Diceros bicornis minor: one gene and its partner. The protein of the gene in region 2 interacts with the protein of the main gene of each other region in a biochemical or structural test. Links are inferred from orthologs where the notes say so. Each region holds a gene or a part of one and is shown on either strand. Other genes may lie near its edges. The genes, in order: SNTB2 and DGKZ.

What was found.
Region 1: the proteins of DGKZ (region 2) and SNTB2 form a complex in vitro, tested with the Homo sapiens proteins (2 studies listed by BioGRID and IntAct, with this or other methods). The link is inferred for Diceros bicornis minor from reciprocal best matches to the Homo sapiens genes DGKZ and SNTB2.

What each region holds. Positions count from the first base shown.
Region 1 is NC_080771.1:20,700,054-20,707,920, reverse strand, and holds the start of SNTB2 (beta-2-syntrophin), read right to left. Parts: upstream 3,191-7,867; 5' UTR 3,157-3,190; coding exon 2,577-3,156; intron 1-2,576. UniProt on the Homo sapiens protein: Adapter protein that binds to and probably organizes the subcellular localization of a variety of membrane proteins. May link various receptors to the actin cytoskeleton and the dystrophin glycoprotein complex.
Region 2 is NC_080770.1:23,872,682-23,880,165, forward strand, and holds the start of DGKZ (diacylglycerol kinase zeta), read right to left. Parts: upstream 3,019-7,484; 5' UTR 2,322-3,018; coding exon 1,411-2,321; intron 1,065-1,410; coding exon 956-1,064; intron 639-955; coding exon 543-638; intron 213-542; coding exon 135-212; intron 1-134. UniProt on the Homo sapiens protein: Diacylglycerol kinase that converts diacylglycerol/DAG into phosphatidic acid/phosphatidate/PA and regulates the respective levels of these two bioactive lipids.

The DNA of each region.
Region 1 (7,867 bases), on a different chromosome or scaffold from region 2:
GTGTGCTATGTTAAGGCAGTTTTTCAACTTTTGAGACATCCAATGGAAAGACAATAGAGTTCCAAAACTTTAAGGGCTAAGCATAAAATCTGTCTTTGTAAAAGTGATCTACCTGGATGAGATACCAGCTCTCGATTTTAAATAATGTTTGACTGGTTCTATGAAATCACTGTTTTCAATGATTCTGCATATTTTAAGTAATTTTATTTTTATATCCCTTGGCTTAAAAGTGCAATTTCATACTTCGCCACACATGTAAGGACAAAAACTGCTTGTCTCTTACAAAATGGGAAAATAAAGTAGAAGCTGTGTTAGGTAAAAAGGCATTCAATAAATATGTTATTATGCTGCCATTTGTAAACTCCTTCTAAAGGCACATGTGGCCTATTTTAGACTAATGAATACTGGGAAGCATTTGATAGATGATTTTCATTTACTTGGTATGAATACCATGTTCAAATTATATCTAAACAAAAACTGGTTTTAAAAAAAATATGGTGTAAAGAGTTGAAATGTCTGACCATCACCACTGAGTACTACACAAATAGTACTACATTCAATATTCCGACTCTAGGAATTTATAACCAAATGCTTAGCTAGACCAATTTCAAGGTACATGTTTTTGTTTTTTTGTGTGTGTGTGTGTGAGGAAGATCAGCCCTGAGCTAACATCCATGCTAATCCTCCTCTTTTTGCTAAGGAAGACCAGCCCTGAGCTAACATCTATTGCCAATCCTCCTCCTTTTTTTTTTTTTGCCCCAAAGCCCCAGTAGATAGTTGTATGTCATAGTTGTACATCCTTCTAGTTGCTGTATGTGCGGCGCGGCCTCAGCACGGCGGGAGAAGCAGTGCGTCAGTGCGTGCCCGGGATCCAAACCCCTGGCCGCCAGCAGCGGAGCGCGTGCACTTAACTGGAGCGCGTGCACTTAACCGGAGCGCGTGCACTTAACCCCTAAGCCACGGGGCCCGCCCCTCAAGGTACACGTTTACGGTAACAATTTTTTTACACATGCACCACCCAAGCCACAATCTATAATTTTACTTTTATTAACACTAATTTCTGAGCAGTGTCTAGCCCAACCTATAAGTGAGATATAAATAAGATTTATAAATAGAATACTATAAAGGTGGGACACTGGAATTTCACAATTGGAGCACATTAAATCACTTACTTGCAAACTAATATTTTTCCAAATATTTACAAGCAGATTTGGAAAAAAGTGAAAATCACTTTGCCAAGCTGGACTTCTGGCCTCTCAGTTTGATAACTGGTTCCTTCCTACCCCTACTCCCCACCCCTTCCCTTCTGTTCTTCCTCTGCTAGGAATACTCTCCTGACTCATCTCTGTCTGTCTATGTCCATCACTTCCTTGGAGACCTGGCTCAAGATTCAGCTCCTTGAAAAAGTCCTCCCTGACTAATCCTGATTTCCACTAACTACATCCTAACTTTGCATTCCCTTGGCATTTATATACAGTTTACACTATATAATCAATAACTTGTAAGACATTTTGCATTTTTCTATCATTTCTCCAACTAGAGACACATCACCTTTTATATTCTCTTCTATACAGCCAGCAATAAATGCTTCTTGAGCGACTGAATCAACAGCAAAAGAAAGCCGATGGCTCAAAAATTTCTGAAGCAAGCAACTGGCTTTTCAGATCACACTTACAATACTTTATCACCTCCAACATGCATAAGTCCTTCAACGAGATGAGATTTAATTTTGTCTTAGTTCCATAAATTCATCATAAAAGATCCAGGTTATAGATCACATATATACTTAAGGTAAACAATCCTGGATATTCAAATATATCTTGAGATTTAACATTTCAAGCTTCTAAAAAGCTTAAAGCCTTGAAGCAGCAGGCCTGTGAATGGTAGGAAGTTGGCACTAGCCTCTTGCAAAAGAGGCAAAACTCTAGTTGGCAGTAAATGTTCAAACACGTGAGCCTCCACTGTTAAACAAGGCTCATTAACCACACAAACTTGCTGTTTCAGCTTTCTGGCTTCAATGAAGTGCTATGATCTCCTTTGGTTATTGTTGAGAGCCAATGATGGGTTAAATTCCCACACATTAACCAGCGTTTTGGTGGTTTGCCCAAGAATACCTCTGGCATCGGTGGGGCTGATTTTTCTTTTTTTTTTAACAGAGCTGCCCGCCCCGGGGAGCCAGAGGTGAGTGATGAAAATGCCGACCCGGCATTTCTCAGGAGGCAAACGGAGACCTCCAGAACTCGAGCCGTTCGGTCTCCCTCTAGTTCTTAGTGTCAGCTTATCGTGCAGAGGCGGGCTTCAGGCGCGCCTGCTTTTTACTAAATCGCAACCGAGTCTTCCTTAGGGACTGCAAGCCACACTTCGGCGGCTGCCCAACTTTTCCCGCAGGGAGCATCAGTTTTTCCATCCTCAAAGCCCCTGCACATCGGGTCTGGGGAGAGCCGGGCCACCAGCAGAGGGGAAGGCGAGGACTCGGAAAGGGGGAGCGGGCTCGCTCCCCAAAAGGGGCAGACACAAAGTGAGCAACGGCCAGCCCTGCGCCGCCCGCCCGCAGGCCGCCCGCCGGCCCCGCTCACCCTCCAGCAGCACCTCCTTGCCCGCGCGCTTCAGCGCCTGCACGGCCTGGTCGTGGGTGGCCTGGCGCAGGTCGGTGCCGTTCACCGACAGGATGGCGTCACCCAGCCGCAGCGCTCGGCTCTGGTCGGCCGCCAGCCCCGGGAAGATCTTGGAGATGAGGATCGGCATCCGGTTCTCGCGGCCGCCCTTGATGCTGATGCCCAGGCCGCCCGCCTCCTGCTTCACCACCCGCACCCGGCGCACAGGAGGGGACGCGCCTGCCTCGCCCGCCGGGCCTCGGGGCGGCGCGGGCGGGCTCGGGGGACCCAGGCCGCGGCTCGGGCTCCCGGGCAGCGAGTCTCCGGCGCCGCCGCCGTTCGGGAGGCCGTTGAAGGCGGCCGCCGCCGGCCCCAAAGTGGGCTCGGGCTCAGCCGCCGCGGCGTCGCCCGTCAGGCTTAGGCTCTCCCCGCTCAGCTCGGCCACCACCCGGACCCAGCGCTCCCTCAGGAGCAGCTCCACCAGCCCCGCTTTCGTGGCCCGCGTCCACACCGCCATGGCCGGCCCCGCTCCCGCCGCCGCAGTCGTCGTAGCTACCCTCATTCCAGTCAGGCAGCCTAGGCGCTTCCCTCTTCCCGCTCGAGGGGGCGGGCCGGCCCCCTCCCCCCGGCGGTGATTCATTATTCATGAGCCACGCCCACCTCCGGAGGGGAGGGGCGAGGCCGGCCGAGCCGCTTCCGGGAGCTTAAGTAGCTGCCCGCAGTCCAGTCCCTTGCGGCTCACCGGACGTGGGCAGCCCGAGCGCAGTGATGCTTAGTCTCGCGTTCTCCTTCCTTTCGCCTCCAACAACCACCCCCCCGCCCCCGCAAACTCCTGACCTCTACCGTGCAATTCACCGGAGCTGCCTGGGCACGGAAGGCAACATCAGCTTCAAGAAGCACTTTGCAAGCCTGCAAGACTGGGTTGCACGTTCACTCTTGCATTGATTGGTTCATTCCGTCTTTATTGAGTGCTTCGCCGTGTGCTCCTTTTGAGGCCTGGAGATGAGCTGAATAAAACGTACCACAGCTGAGAGCTGGCGGTCTAGTGGGGGAGGAAAACGGAGAACCAATCAACCTAGTGTGATACTATGTGGTTAAGTGACATCTAGACAACGCTCTGAGAGCAGAGTAGAAGAAACATTTGGTTGGGCCCGAGGTCAGCTGCACAGAGGTGACAATGGAAGGTGAATAGGTGGAGCAGAGGGAACTGCATAAGCAAAGGTCCAGAGGCATGAATCAAAGCATTTGTCACTCTGCTTTGTAATCACCTGTTTTCCTACCTGCAATGTGTGAGGGCACCATGTCTTCTTCAGCCCTGCAGCCACAATAGGTTGGCCGCAAAGATATTTGCAGAATGATGATTACTTAGGAAGATGCCAGAATTCCAACGTGAACAGAGCATCGGGTCCCTGGAGATGGCAGGATATGAGTGTGAAAAGCCTCATATAATCAAATGTTGGAGTGTTTGGACTTGAATTTGTAGATCTGACTTTCTTACTCTGGAGGCCACGGCCCTTTGTTGGGGTAAGTGTAGATGAGCATCCCCAGAAACTGTATGCACACTGCAGAGCCTGCAGTGGCTTTTATCCTAAGACATGGGTGATGCAATCCACCCACTTCTTCCAGCTTCCTGGGCTGGAAGAGCAGAGGAAACTGAGGCCTGGAGAGCCCAAGACTCGAGCTCCAAGCCCACAGTGAGGCAGCAGAGACAACTGTCTGGTCTCCCACCTCCTGGTCCACTGCTTTTCTTGACTACATTCCTCAGACCTCAAAAATGAGGGTCCAGAAATCACACTGCTGAGAGAGATCTTAGCAAAAACATGAGTTCAAGGTGCCGTCTAACTTTCCTTCAGCAATAAAATCGAAATCCTCACGTTTTCATTTGGTGCAAGCAGAAGGAATGTGCACCAATTTCTGTAAAAGGGGCTGCATACCTGCTTGCTCATGAAGTACATGTTGAAGCTCGTAAGCCATGTCCACGCACCACTCTATGAATGCACATGCATGTATGGGCAGAAACTTCCAAACAGCCTCCTATACCAGGAGTTAAAACCATAAAAATAGAGACTGGAAAGCAACCAGAGCCCAAATGAAGGAAGAATTCAAAATAAGAAAAGTATCTTACCAAAAAAATCATTACAGCAGAATCTTCTTTGCAATTAATGGAGCAGGATTTTCCGAGCTGCAAATGTCAGCAGCTCAACCCTCTAGCCCTCTCCTAAATCAATTGCAGTGAGGCCAGCTAGCTGTTTTGGCAGGTCCCAATGTGCCCCAGCGCACCTGCAGTCACAGACACTTCTGGCTTTTCTCCAGCTGAGGCATGAGCCCCCAGAGGCCTGAGTTATGTGAAATTTCTGCTTATTAGAGAGCACTTGGCAGCTGATCCCTTAGAGTATGAGCACTATTTTCAACACTTTTATATACATATTCACAAAGGGTTGGGCACTTGAGGACACCTTTATTAGCAAAAGGGAAGCTGGAAACTCCTTCCAAGAGTATGAAGACCTTTTGGTCAAGAGAGTTGGAGGAAGTCATAGATCTTCCAACTAAATGGTAAGTGAGGGTGCTTATATATAAGATAGTAAGTTATATAACATAATATTTAAACCTGGGAGGAGAGAAAGTAATGGAGATTGATATTTGGATTACTTGCGGGTTTCTACGTAAAAAATTATTTTTAAATATATCCATAAAACATTCCCAAATTATTGAGCTGCTTTTACAAGGTCCTCCATCAGAACCTAAATTAATTTTCAACATTCTCTTTCATCACTACTTTCTGATCGGCCAAACTCATCCAGTCAGTGTCTCTCAATGACGCCTTGCACATTCCTGAGTCCTTCCTTCCAAACACCTCCTGCCGCTTTCTACCACTTTCCCACCTAGCAAGATCTCAGCCCAGTTTTCCCCAACGACCCAATTTTTCCTTTGAACAATTTTCTTCTACGCTTGGCTGTTTTGCCCCAGTAGATTATAAAATACAGGAAGGCAGGGACCACCCATCGACTTCTTTTTATTCCCCACTATTCCAAAAATACTGCCTTGCAGAAAAGGAACTCATTAAACATGTGATTGATTGAAATTCAGTGCCTCCTGTGCTGTAGTCGTTTCAAATAATCCTTCTGAAGGTTACTGGTTCCTTGCAGAGTGAAAATTACCATCTAGGAAATCTCAAGTAGTCAGTGGAAATCTACTTACTGTGGATAATGAAATCTGAAATAAAAAGAGTACACATCTGTGTCCACGGTTTCTTAGGGACAGCAAGACAAGCTTAGATAATTCTTTGAACAGGCATGTTATTTTATCTACCTTTAAAAAAGGAAATGGCTGAGATAATTCCTCATAACCCTTCATTCCTGTCACCTATCAATACGTATTCTCCTGTGCTCAAGCTGTTATCTTACGATTTCTCAGAACAAGGCAGGGATCACTGCTACTTTAAAATGAGGGGGTTGGATTAGCTCTCTCAGTTCCATAATTTCCTACAATTCTATGACTCAGGCTCTGATTCTATGCTCTCTCAAAAACCAGTGGTCTTTTCTTTTTCTTCTCCCTCACAGTGGATGTACAATATAGCACAGTAATTAAGAGCACAAGGTTCAAATTGTAGTTTGGCCACTTACTAGGTATATACGATAACGGTCAAAAGGTTGAGGTCACAGGCCTGTTTCTTCTTCAGAAAAATTCAGCTACCTTCTACCTCTAAGGGCAGTTGCGAGGGTTGACTGGGATGACATATGCAAAGCGTTTAGCAGCACTGTACCTGTACAGGGTAAGAGGTCCATAAAAAGTACCTGCTGCTGGTATATTACCTGTTGACCTTCAGCAGCAGCAACAATAAAACCTTTGGTAGAAACTCTGCAGCTGAGAGTCTAGACTTTATCTAGGAATGAGTCTGCCATAGTATCATATGATTCCAGGCTTAAATGGCAAATGGCCAAATTAATTTCGGTGACAAACAGATCTTGTATAAAGCTACACTTCAGCTGAAAGGGAGAACATATTGCCAAGAGTCCGTCAAAGCAAAGAATTAGTGGATCTGGGGCTGGTTCCAAGGTTTGAGTGTTGTGTACACAATTTCATAAGGAAGGAGGGCCCCAGGCAAAATTGCAGCCCTTAGCAAGCCTGAAGGTCACTACCACAGAGGCGGCCTGACGCCAGAGGAACAAAAGCAAGAACTGCTCAATTACTACTAAAGAAGAGGCCAAAGGGAGAAAGAAGCTTGTAAGATAACCAATCCAACACCTAACTTTGCAAAATTATCCACACACAACTCTTCCTCAGTTAGAAGACAGTGAGATCAATTGTCCCTTTCAACAGACAGTACTCCTTTGCCTTCCGGGAGAAATAACCTAAAAGGTATTTTTCTCTCCCGCACAAACATGAAGTGAAAGAGGGAAAGGTGCATATATCCTTTAGCTGATGTAAGCACATTTAAAAATTCATCCTGCCAAGATAAATCATCATCCATCTGAAAACCACAAAAATGGATTAACTATCTCATACGTTATGACTATGAAAACCCACATCTGCTAACCACATTCCTAATGAGAAGCAGCTGGTGACAGTTTTGTAGCTCTGTGACTTTCTTTTTAGGAAAATATTAGCAAGGACATAATAAGCAGAAGGTTAGTTTCATTGAATCCACTTAGTTATGGAAAATCACCAGTGTTTTTTATTGACAATCATGGACATTACATAATTTGCCACGAAATTCAAGTAAGGTCCAAAAATAAAAATCCCCTTTCCCCCAATACCAGTTCTAACAGAATTTCCAGTGCCTCAGAATTAAGACTTACAGTCCTAATAGTCAGCTTCAACTCTCATTTTTCATATACCATTGAACACCAAATCATGTCTATCGATGCAGATGGTATTTCTAGGCCTTTGTCCCACAGCTTTAACTGCCTCCCAAGTCAGTTAATGCAACAGCCAGTTGTGGGGTGTGGGGATCACGGACCCCTTTAGGAGTCAGTTGCATGTTGTGGACACACCTTAGACAAATGCACACCTGTGCAAAATTCAGCATTCACACTTGGGGGCTCACAAAGCCCCTGAAGCCCTTCTATGGACTCTGTCATGGGCTGAATCGTGTCCCCTCAAAATTTATAGGTTGAAGTCCTAATCCCCAGTACTTCAGAATGTGATTATATTTGGAGACAGGGTCTTGTTTTTTTTGAGGAAGATCAGCTCTAAGCTAACATCCATGCCAATCCTCCTCTTTTTGCTGAGGCAGACCGGCCCTGAGCTAACATCTATTGCCAATCCTCCTC
Region 2 (7,484 bases):
ACCACGCATGCTGTGGCACCCCTAGCAGGTGATGTTTGTGGAACGTGAATACGCGTGTGCAGGCACACGTGTGTGCTGAGAGGGCTTCAGCAGCCGGAGGGGCGGGGCGGGAAAGGCCAAGCAACCACACTCACCTTCTCCAGCTGTGCAATGCAGGGGGTGTGCACCACGATCTTGCAAGCTGCACACTTTCTCCGGGACACCGACTTCTGCTGCAGCAAAGAGCAAGGGGGCCCTTGAGGCACCAGGTGGCTCCGTCCAGGATGCTACTCCAGGGCAGGCCAAGGAATCCTCACATCTGCCCCAGCACAGCAGCCCTCCGTGTGCCCCAGGAACCCCCACTCTTGGCTCCTGGAGTTGGCACACAGCTCCCATTCCTCTCGCCATCCTCAGGCAGCCCACAGCAGGGGTGCTCAGGTGAGAGCCTTGTTCTCACCTTCCCCTGGAAGGACTGCAGGTGTCCAGCCAGCAGGGGTTGGCCTAGAGGCATCTAGACCCTGCTCCACCACCAGGGGGCAGCGTGCCGCACACAGTGCACTCACCAGCATCTTAGCTACACAGTACTGCTCCCCAACATAGCAGAAGTCCCCCGACACGTTGGTCTCGAACCAGATGTGCTCCCCATATGTCGCTGACTCCTAGACCATGGGACAAACATGCTCAGTGCACGCTTGCCGCCCAGCTCACCAGTCACCCCTGCCCTGCCCCATCAACCCTCTCTCTCCCAAGACAAACCTGCTCCAGATGCCACAATTTACTTTGCACCACCCCGTTTTCCCCACTGTCCCTACTCTTTAAGGCTTGGCTCAAATGTGGCCACCCCAGGAGGTTTGCCCCCATCCCACAGGCCCACGCACTCCTCTCGCAGCTGCCCACAGTACCTCCACCCCCGACTGCTCCCAGAGCCCTGTGGGGGTTGGTACCCTTCTGCCCCTGTCGGTACCCAGCCACTCACGCTCCAGTCCACAGTGCTCCGGATCTGCCGCTCTGGCTCGCTGCACGGGGCCCCGGGAGTGGGAGGAGGGGGTGCCAGGTGCTGAAGGCCCGACTTGGTGATGGCTTTCCTACAGAAAAGGAGACAGCTGAGGCCAGCTGAGCACTTGGTAACTCTGCTTCCTTCCCCCCTCACCTGGGATCTCTGCCCTCACTGTGACCTCACTCCAAGGCCAAGGCAGGGACAGCAGTAGGGACGGTAGAGGACCCCCCACGGCAGCCCAAGGCTCTGAGAGGACCCCTCTAGGAGACTCTGCCCTCCTCACGGCCCTTCTGGGGCGCGCTGGCTGCTGGGCACTGCCCGGAGCTATTGCAAAGCAGGGTGCCCTCAGGCCAGGCAGAGCCTCAAGGTCCTTGCTCCGCGGCAGCCCCCTTGGAGGCTGCACCACTCGCCCTGCCAGCCACAGCTATACCTACGCAAGCAGAGTGCTCCAGGCCTGGGGTCCGGCTGACTTGCGCCGTAGGGCTACCTGGCGCCTGCGGGAAAGCGGGCGCACACGGGCGGGCATCGCGGGGCTGGCTGGGGTGCCTGAGGCTCTTCGGCCCCCAGGGCCAGGGTGCTGGCCCAAAGGCCGCTGCTGGCTGAGGCGCCGGTAGTAACCGTGCAGGCCCCAGAGGGCAGAGTCGTACACCATGTCAGCAGGGAGCAGGTGGGAGGAGGCACGGCGCCGGCGCAGGCAGCGGGGCACGGGCAGCAGGGGATGGGCGCCCTGGTGTGCGGGTGGCCCTGGTCTCTCGGTGCCTGGCTGGGCCACACTCAACGCTGCAACTGTCACATCCTCCTCCTGGACACTCTCCCCCTCCTCCTCCTCCTCATTCATGCCCATGAGCCTGGCCAACAGCAGAGGTGTGCCCAGAAGCTGGGCCCTGACAGTGGCAGGCTGTGGGGTGGGCACCTCATCCACGATGAAGCGGGGGTTGCAGGCGGGGGGTGTGGTGCTGGAGCGCCGGCGCCTGGTGCCCCGGGACCCCATCCCGCAGCCCAGGAGGCAGCCCTGGAGCTGTGCGCTGGAGCGGCGCCGCTGTGCCAGCGAGGAGGAGGCCTGCCCGGCAGGGGAGCGGCGCCGGGCCTTGCCCGTGGGCAGCCCCACGCCGCTGGGCCGCCGCTGCCCCTCTCCAGGGCCTGGCGCCTTCCTCTGGAAGTGTCTCCTAAAGAAGGTCTCCATGGCAGGGGCAGGCGGGTGGCTGTTGGGCACAGAGACCGGGAGCATCAGGAGCTGGGCCAGGTCACGGCCCATCCTGTGCCCAGGAGCCCGGTCACAGCCTCTGCCCTTTGAGCAGAGAGGGGACACTTGGGAGGGTGGGGGACAACGGCCTCTGACCCCCATCAATGGGGTGTTTGAGGGTACAAGAGAATCCTCAGGGGAGCACAGATTTCCCGCTTTGGGAAGCACCGGCGCTCTCCTTGGTTACACCGTCAGGCTGCGCCAGGAGTAAGGGGTAGGAGGGGGCTTCCCCTATCCAGACACCATGATCCACAAAGCCCTGGCCTCTAAAGGACTTTGGCTCCCCTGCCTGAAGCTGACGGAAAAGAAAAGAAAAAGGAAGCTGGAATTCGGGAGGAGGCCTGGGTTCCAGTTTGGAGTTGGACTAGTTAGACTGAGGGCGAGAGCAAGGCTTTCCCCCTCGTTGGGATTTTGTTTTGCCACCAACATGGGGCAGGTTAGGTTTAGGTGTCTGTTCCTGGGACATGGCACAAACCAAGGCATACACAAGCCTCTCTGAAAAGAAACTCAGTCCTGATAAGACCCCCAGACTCTCTTGGCCCCAGTCTTGGGTCAGGCTGAGGGTCGCACGCGGAAATGGAGAGGGTCTGACATCTGACTCAGGGATCAAAGGACCCAGGGGAGGGGGCTGGCCTGGTTAAGTGCAGCACTCTGCTACTGGTGGCCCGGGTTCAGATCCCGGGCGCGCACCGACGCACTGCTTGTCCGGCCATGCTGAGGCCGCGTCCCACATACAGCAACTAGAAGGATGTGTAACTATGACATACAACTATCTACTGGGGCTTTGGGAAGGAAAAGGGAAAAAAAAAAAAAGGAGGAGGATTGGCAATAGATGTTAGCTCAGGGCCGGTCTTCCTCAGCAAAAAGAGGAGAATTGGTGTGGATGTTAGCTCAGGGCTGATCTTCCTCACAAAAAAAAAAAAAAAAAAAGGACCCAGGGGAGATGAGGCCCTCAGAGAACTGGAGAGCCAGCTGCACAGGAGAGAAGCCACTGCCGCCTTCACCCACGGGAACTTCCTATGGGAAGCAGCAAGAGGCCTGAGCTAAGAGAACAGCCTTCTGCATTCTGGGTGTGAGTGCGTGTCTGTATCTCTGAGGAGCTGACAGTAAGGACTTTTCTGGAACCAGACTGCTCTGTCTCACCCTTCTGAAGAGGCAGAGTATGGATGCCCCACGTGTGATGACGGGTAACGTGTGAAAACCCACCCAGCTCTGCCATTGCGGGAGCCGGTGAACGGCACCTTGTCCTGGGGCCAAGGCAGAAGCTCCAACTCTCAAAATCCCAAACACTGAGCTGCCTGGAGCTCCCTCCTGCAGGGAGGTAGGACCTTTGGTGACCGTCCTTGCTCCAGCCATCCTCTGACCTGTTCTGAACACACGCTCTGCCTTCTTCGCCCGCTCACCTACTCCTGCCGCCCCTTTGTCACAAGCCGCTGGGACCACCTGCGCCCTCACCTCTCCCTAACGCTGGGGGAAGGGCAGGAAACCAGGTATGCTTCAGGGGGCGATGCCCCCAGAGAGCCCAGGGACGCCTGTGTCCTGCCATCAGGTGCTCTCCTGGGCCCTGGCAGCCACAGGAGGGTCCATCACGGCCGTGGGACATCCGCCTGGGGCTGACAGGAGAAATAACTTCTGCCTGCTGAGGGCCTGGCAGAGTCAGGCGTGGTGGGTGGGAGCCCTGGACAAACGGTGGGAGATGACGGACTTGAAGAGTCAGGCCTCGGCCACATGTCTGGTGCCTACTCCTCCCACCCACCCACCACACTCTTTGACTGGGTGGGTCTGGGCAGGCAGCATCAGGCCGCAGCCCTGGATGGGTGCAGGGGTCCCCAGGGGGAGGTGGATGGGTGCCAAGGTGTCTGAGCTCCTGTGATCAGGGAGCAGTGGAGGCAGCTGTGCCTGGGGAGGCAGTGCCTGAGACTGCCCGGCTCCTGGGCCCTGCCTGTTACAGTCCTCCTCCCCTGCAGGTGACAGGGAGAGGGCAGGAGGCGAGCTCTGTGGGCAGAGAGCTCTTGGCGTCCTCCCAAAATCAGCATCATCACGGCTCACATTTACTGAGAGCTCGCATGTGTCAGGCCCGGTGCTGAGCCCCTTACAAACATGTACATCGTTTCATAAACCATAGCAAACCCAAAGAACAGGTACTGTGTCATGCGGCATTCCTGATGGGAAACAGGCACAAAGAGGTAACTTGTCCACAGTCCACAGCTAGTCAGTGTAGAGCTTAGGCTGGAACCCAAGTCTACCCGAAGGCAAAGCCTGCACCCCAGAGATGCGGAGGAGAGTAGGGTCTTCCCTTTTGGGCCACAAGGCTGGGACTAAAGTGGGATGCGGTAGGGAAGGGAACCATAGCAAGAACAACAATGGTCCCATTTACTGAACATCTACTGTGGGGCAGGCCCTGGGCTAAGCACTTCCATTCATCATCTCGTTTCATTCCCACCACAACCCTGTAGGCAGGACGGACCAATGGCTCCATTATAGAGATGAGGGAACTGAGGCTTGAAGAGGTGCTAGACATATTCAAGGTCACCCGGCTGGTCAGTGCCAGAGCCTGGACCTGAACCCAGGTCTGCCCTGTACCCAGGAAGAGGAGCCTGAAGGCCCAGCTGCCCACTGCTGCCAGGGCACCAGCCTGCCAGCACTCCCCCGGGGTGTCAGCTTTCCCCACCCGTCTCGTCAGGCTGCCCTGTGACAGCTGCCCAGACTGGAGGAGATTAGTCAGCCGGACACAGCGCCTGATGCTAGTGTCACCCAGAAAACAAAAGGCCACAGTCAGTGGGGGAGGTGCTGAGGGTTGGGCCCTGCCTACTGCCCTGAACCCACACTGACGAGAGGTGCCAGGAGGAAGAGGTCACCTGCACACCTGCCTCACGACCCAGGGGCAGCTTACAGGTGCTCCACAGCGCTCTGGCCCACACCCTGCCGGGCAGCCCCAAATCCACGTCTATCCTGGAGTCTCCTTGGCTGCCCTATGGTGCAGTCACTCAAGTAGGGAGCAAGGCAGGCTAGGCCAGTTTTGTGTGCCCATGTGCCAAGCTGTCCCCTCACAGGCCTCAGTTTCCTTATTTGCTCAAGGAGGCTGTCAGACTGGCGGATTTGACATTTTATGACAAGCTCTCCTGCCAGGCACCCACGCCTCTACGCTCCCCATGTCCCTTCACCCAGGCCCCATGCTTCCTGTTCCTCTGGTCTCCATAGAAACCTGTGTCCTCTGGTCAGCAATTGCCTGACTCCTGACTTCCTATCTCTGCTGAGGCTTCTCCTGGGTCTGGTCGGAAGCCCAGCCTAGCTTCCGGCCTGTCCCAGCCTTTCCTCTGCCTGGGCCTGGAGCCTTTTCCCACAGCACCGCTCAGAGCAGCAGCTTCTTCTCACCTCCCGCTCTGTCACTTTCAACACACCACACAGTATGTGTAAAGGTCACTGGAGGAGGCCCCACAGGGTTCTGACACCAAGAGCAGAGCAAAACGGCTATCCCTCAGCCTCCCGGTGGGAGGCCTGGGGGAAGCCTGTCACACCCAAAGGGGACAGGATGGGAAAGCACTCAGGGGCCCCATCAACCTCCAGCTGGCTGTTGGGGGCTGGGGAGGACAAAAGATGGTCCAGGAGAGACATGCACAGTGGTGTCTGGCCACGTTGTCTCGAGGAGCGGCAGCAAGCAGGGCTGCGGGCAGCCGAGCTAAGGCACCTGACAGTGGGGGTCAGCAGGTATGCGTGCCCCAGCGAGAAAGGACGGGACACGTTGCCTCCTAGCCCAGACCATCTCACCCCCTATGATAGCTGCAAGTGGAAAAGCCCAAAGGCTTTGGAACCCTGCATCTGCCACTGCTTTCCTGGGCTGATCAACCAACCTTTCCGAGTCTCAGTATTCTCACCTGCAGAAGGGGGATGATACCACTAGTTCAGAAGGCTGGCATAGGGATGTTCTGACGAGATGATGGGATAACGTACCTGAGGATATGACACCCGGCAGAGAGTAGGCGCCTACACCCACAGCAGACACCAGGGCGTGTGGATCATGCCACCTCCTGGGCTTGTCTCTGCCCATGGCAGGGTGGGAACCCAGAAAGGGAAGCAGGAGTACCCAGGGTGGCCACCACCCACCCATGAGGAACAGAGCCTGCCAGCCAAGCCACCTGGTGTCTGCTCAGCCCCTGGTCCCAGGCCCGGCCCCCAGGAACTCCCCTGCCTCCAGAGGTGCCCGCACAGGACACCCTGTGGGATTCCGCTCGAGCGCCAGTTCCACGCTGCGGGCAGAGCCCCACACGCCCATCTCCTGAGTGCAGGCTGGGAATGGTGCACGGCGGCCCCTCTTCCAGCAGCCCCACAGCAAGGGCCTGGAGCTGCCTCCCCAGGGGGCGGCTGGGCAGAAGCCACCTCTGGCTGCTCTGCTCCCACAGCCCCCAAGTAGGAGGGAAGGTGGCGGGGACTGGCGAGGCAGGGTCCCAGCCTCCCCAAGGTCTCTACTCACCAAGGGGATCCTGCCAAAAAACAAAATGAAACAAAAATGCACAGCGGGGAGCAGGTGGGCCAGGGCTGCGCAGTAAAGTCGAGCAGGCCAGTAGTGTTTACCTCCATAGGGCCTGCCTGGCTCCCGGGCTGGGCGGCGGGAGCTCCACCTTCCCTGTCTCTGTCCCCTTCCATCAGCTTCAGGAGCCTCATCTAGGGATGGCAGTGCCTGGGCCCACCCTGATCCACCCCTCCCCAGACCCACCCGGACAGACAGAGGAGGCAGGAAGCAGAAGACAAAGAAGGGTTGCGGGGAGCCCCCTTTGACCTGATCTGGAAGGCAGGGTGGCAGGCAGGAGGTGGGCAGGCGGGTGGGGGCCGGGGTCCCCGTGGGCGGGCGAGCCCCGGCTCTGGCTCCAGCTCCAGGCTGCTGGCCTCTGGCTCAGCAAGTCCTAGTTTGGAGAGCGAGCGGCTGTGGCTGCTCCTCTGCCCCCTCCCCCTCACCACCCTCCTCCCCCCAGCCTGAGACAGCCGTTATGAAAATAACCCGATTGGTAACCGACTGCACTTCCTCTCCCAGCAGTGGCTCCAGGCCCTGCAGCGAGCGCAGGCAGCGGGTGGGTGGGCGGGCACACACTCGTGCAAAAGAGTCTTGCCTCCTGGATTCTCTCCCCAAAGTTCCCAGAGCCAGGCTGAGTGACAGACAGCCCAGTGACCTCCCCTCCACCTGGCACCGGTTTCAGCGCAGCCCCTGACTCAGCTCCGGGAGGTTGGGGGTGTGGGGGGGGAGGTCTGGGGAGGGAGAAGTTGGGGTCA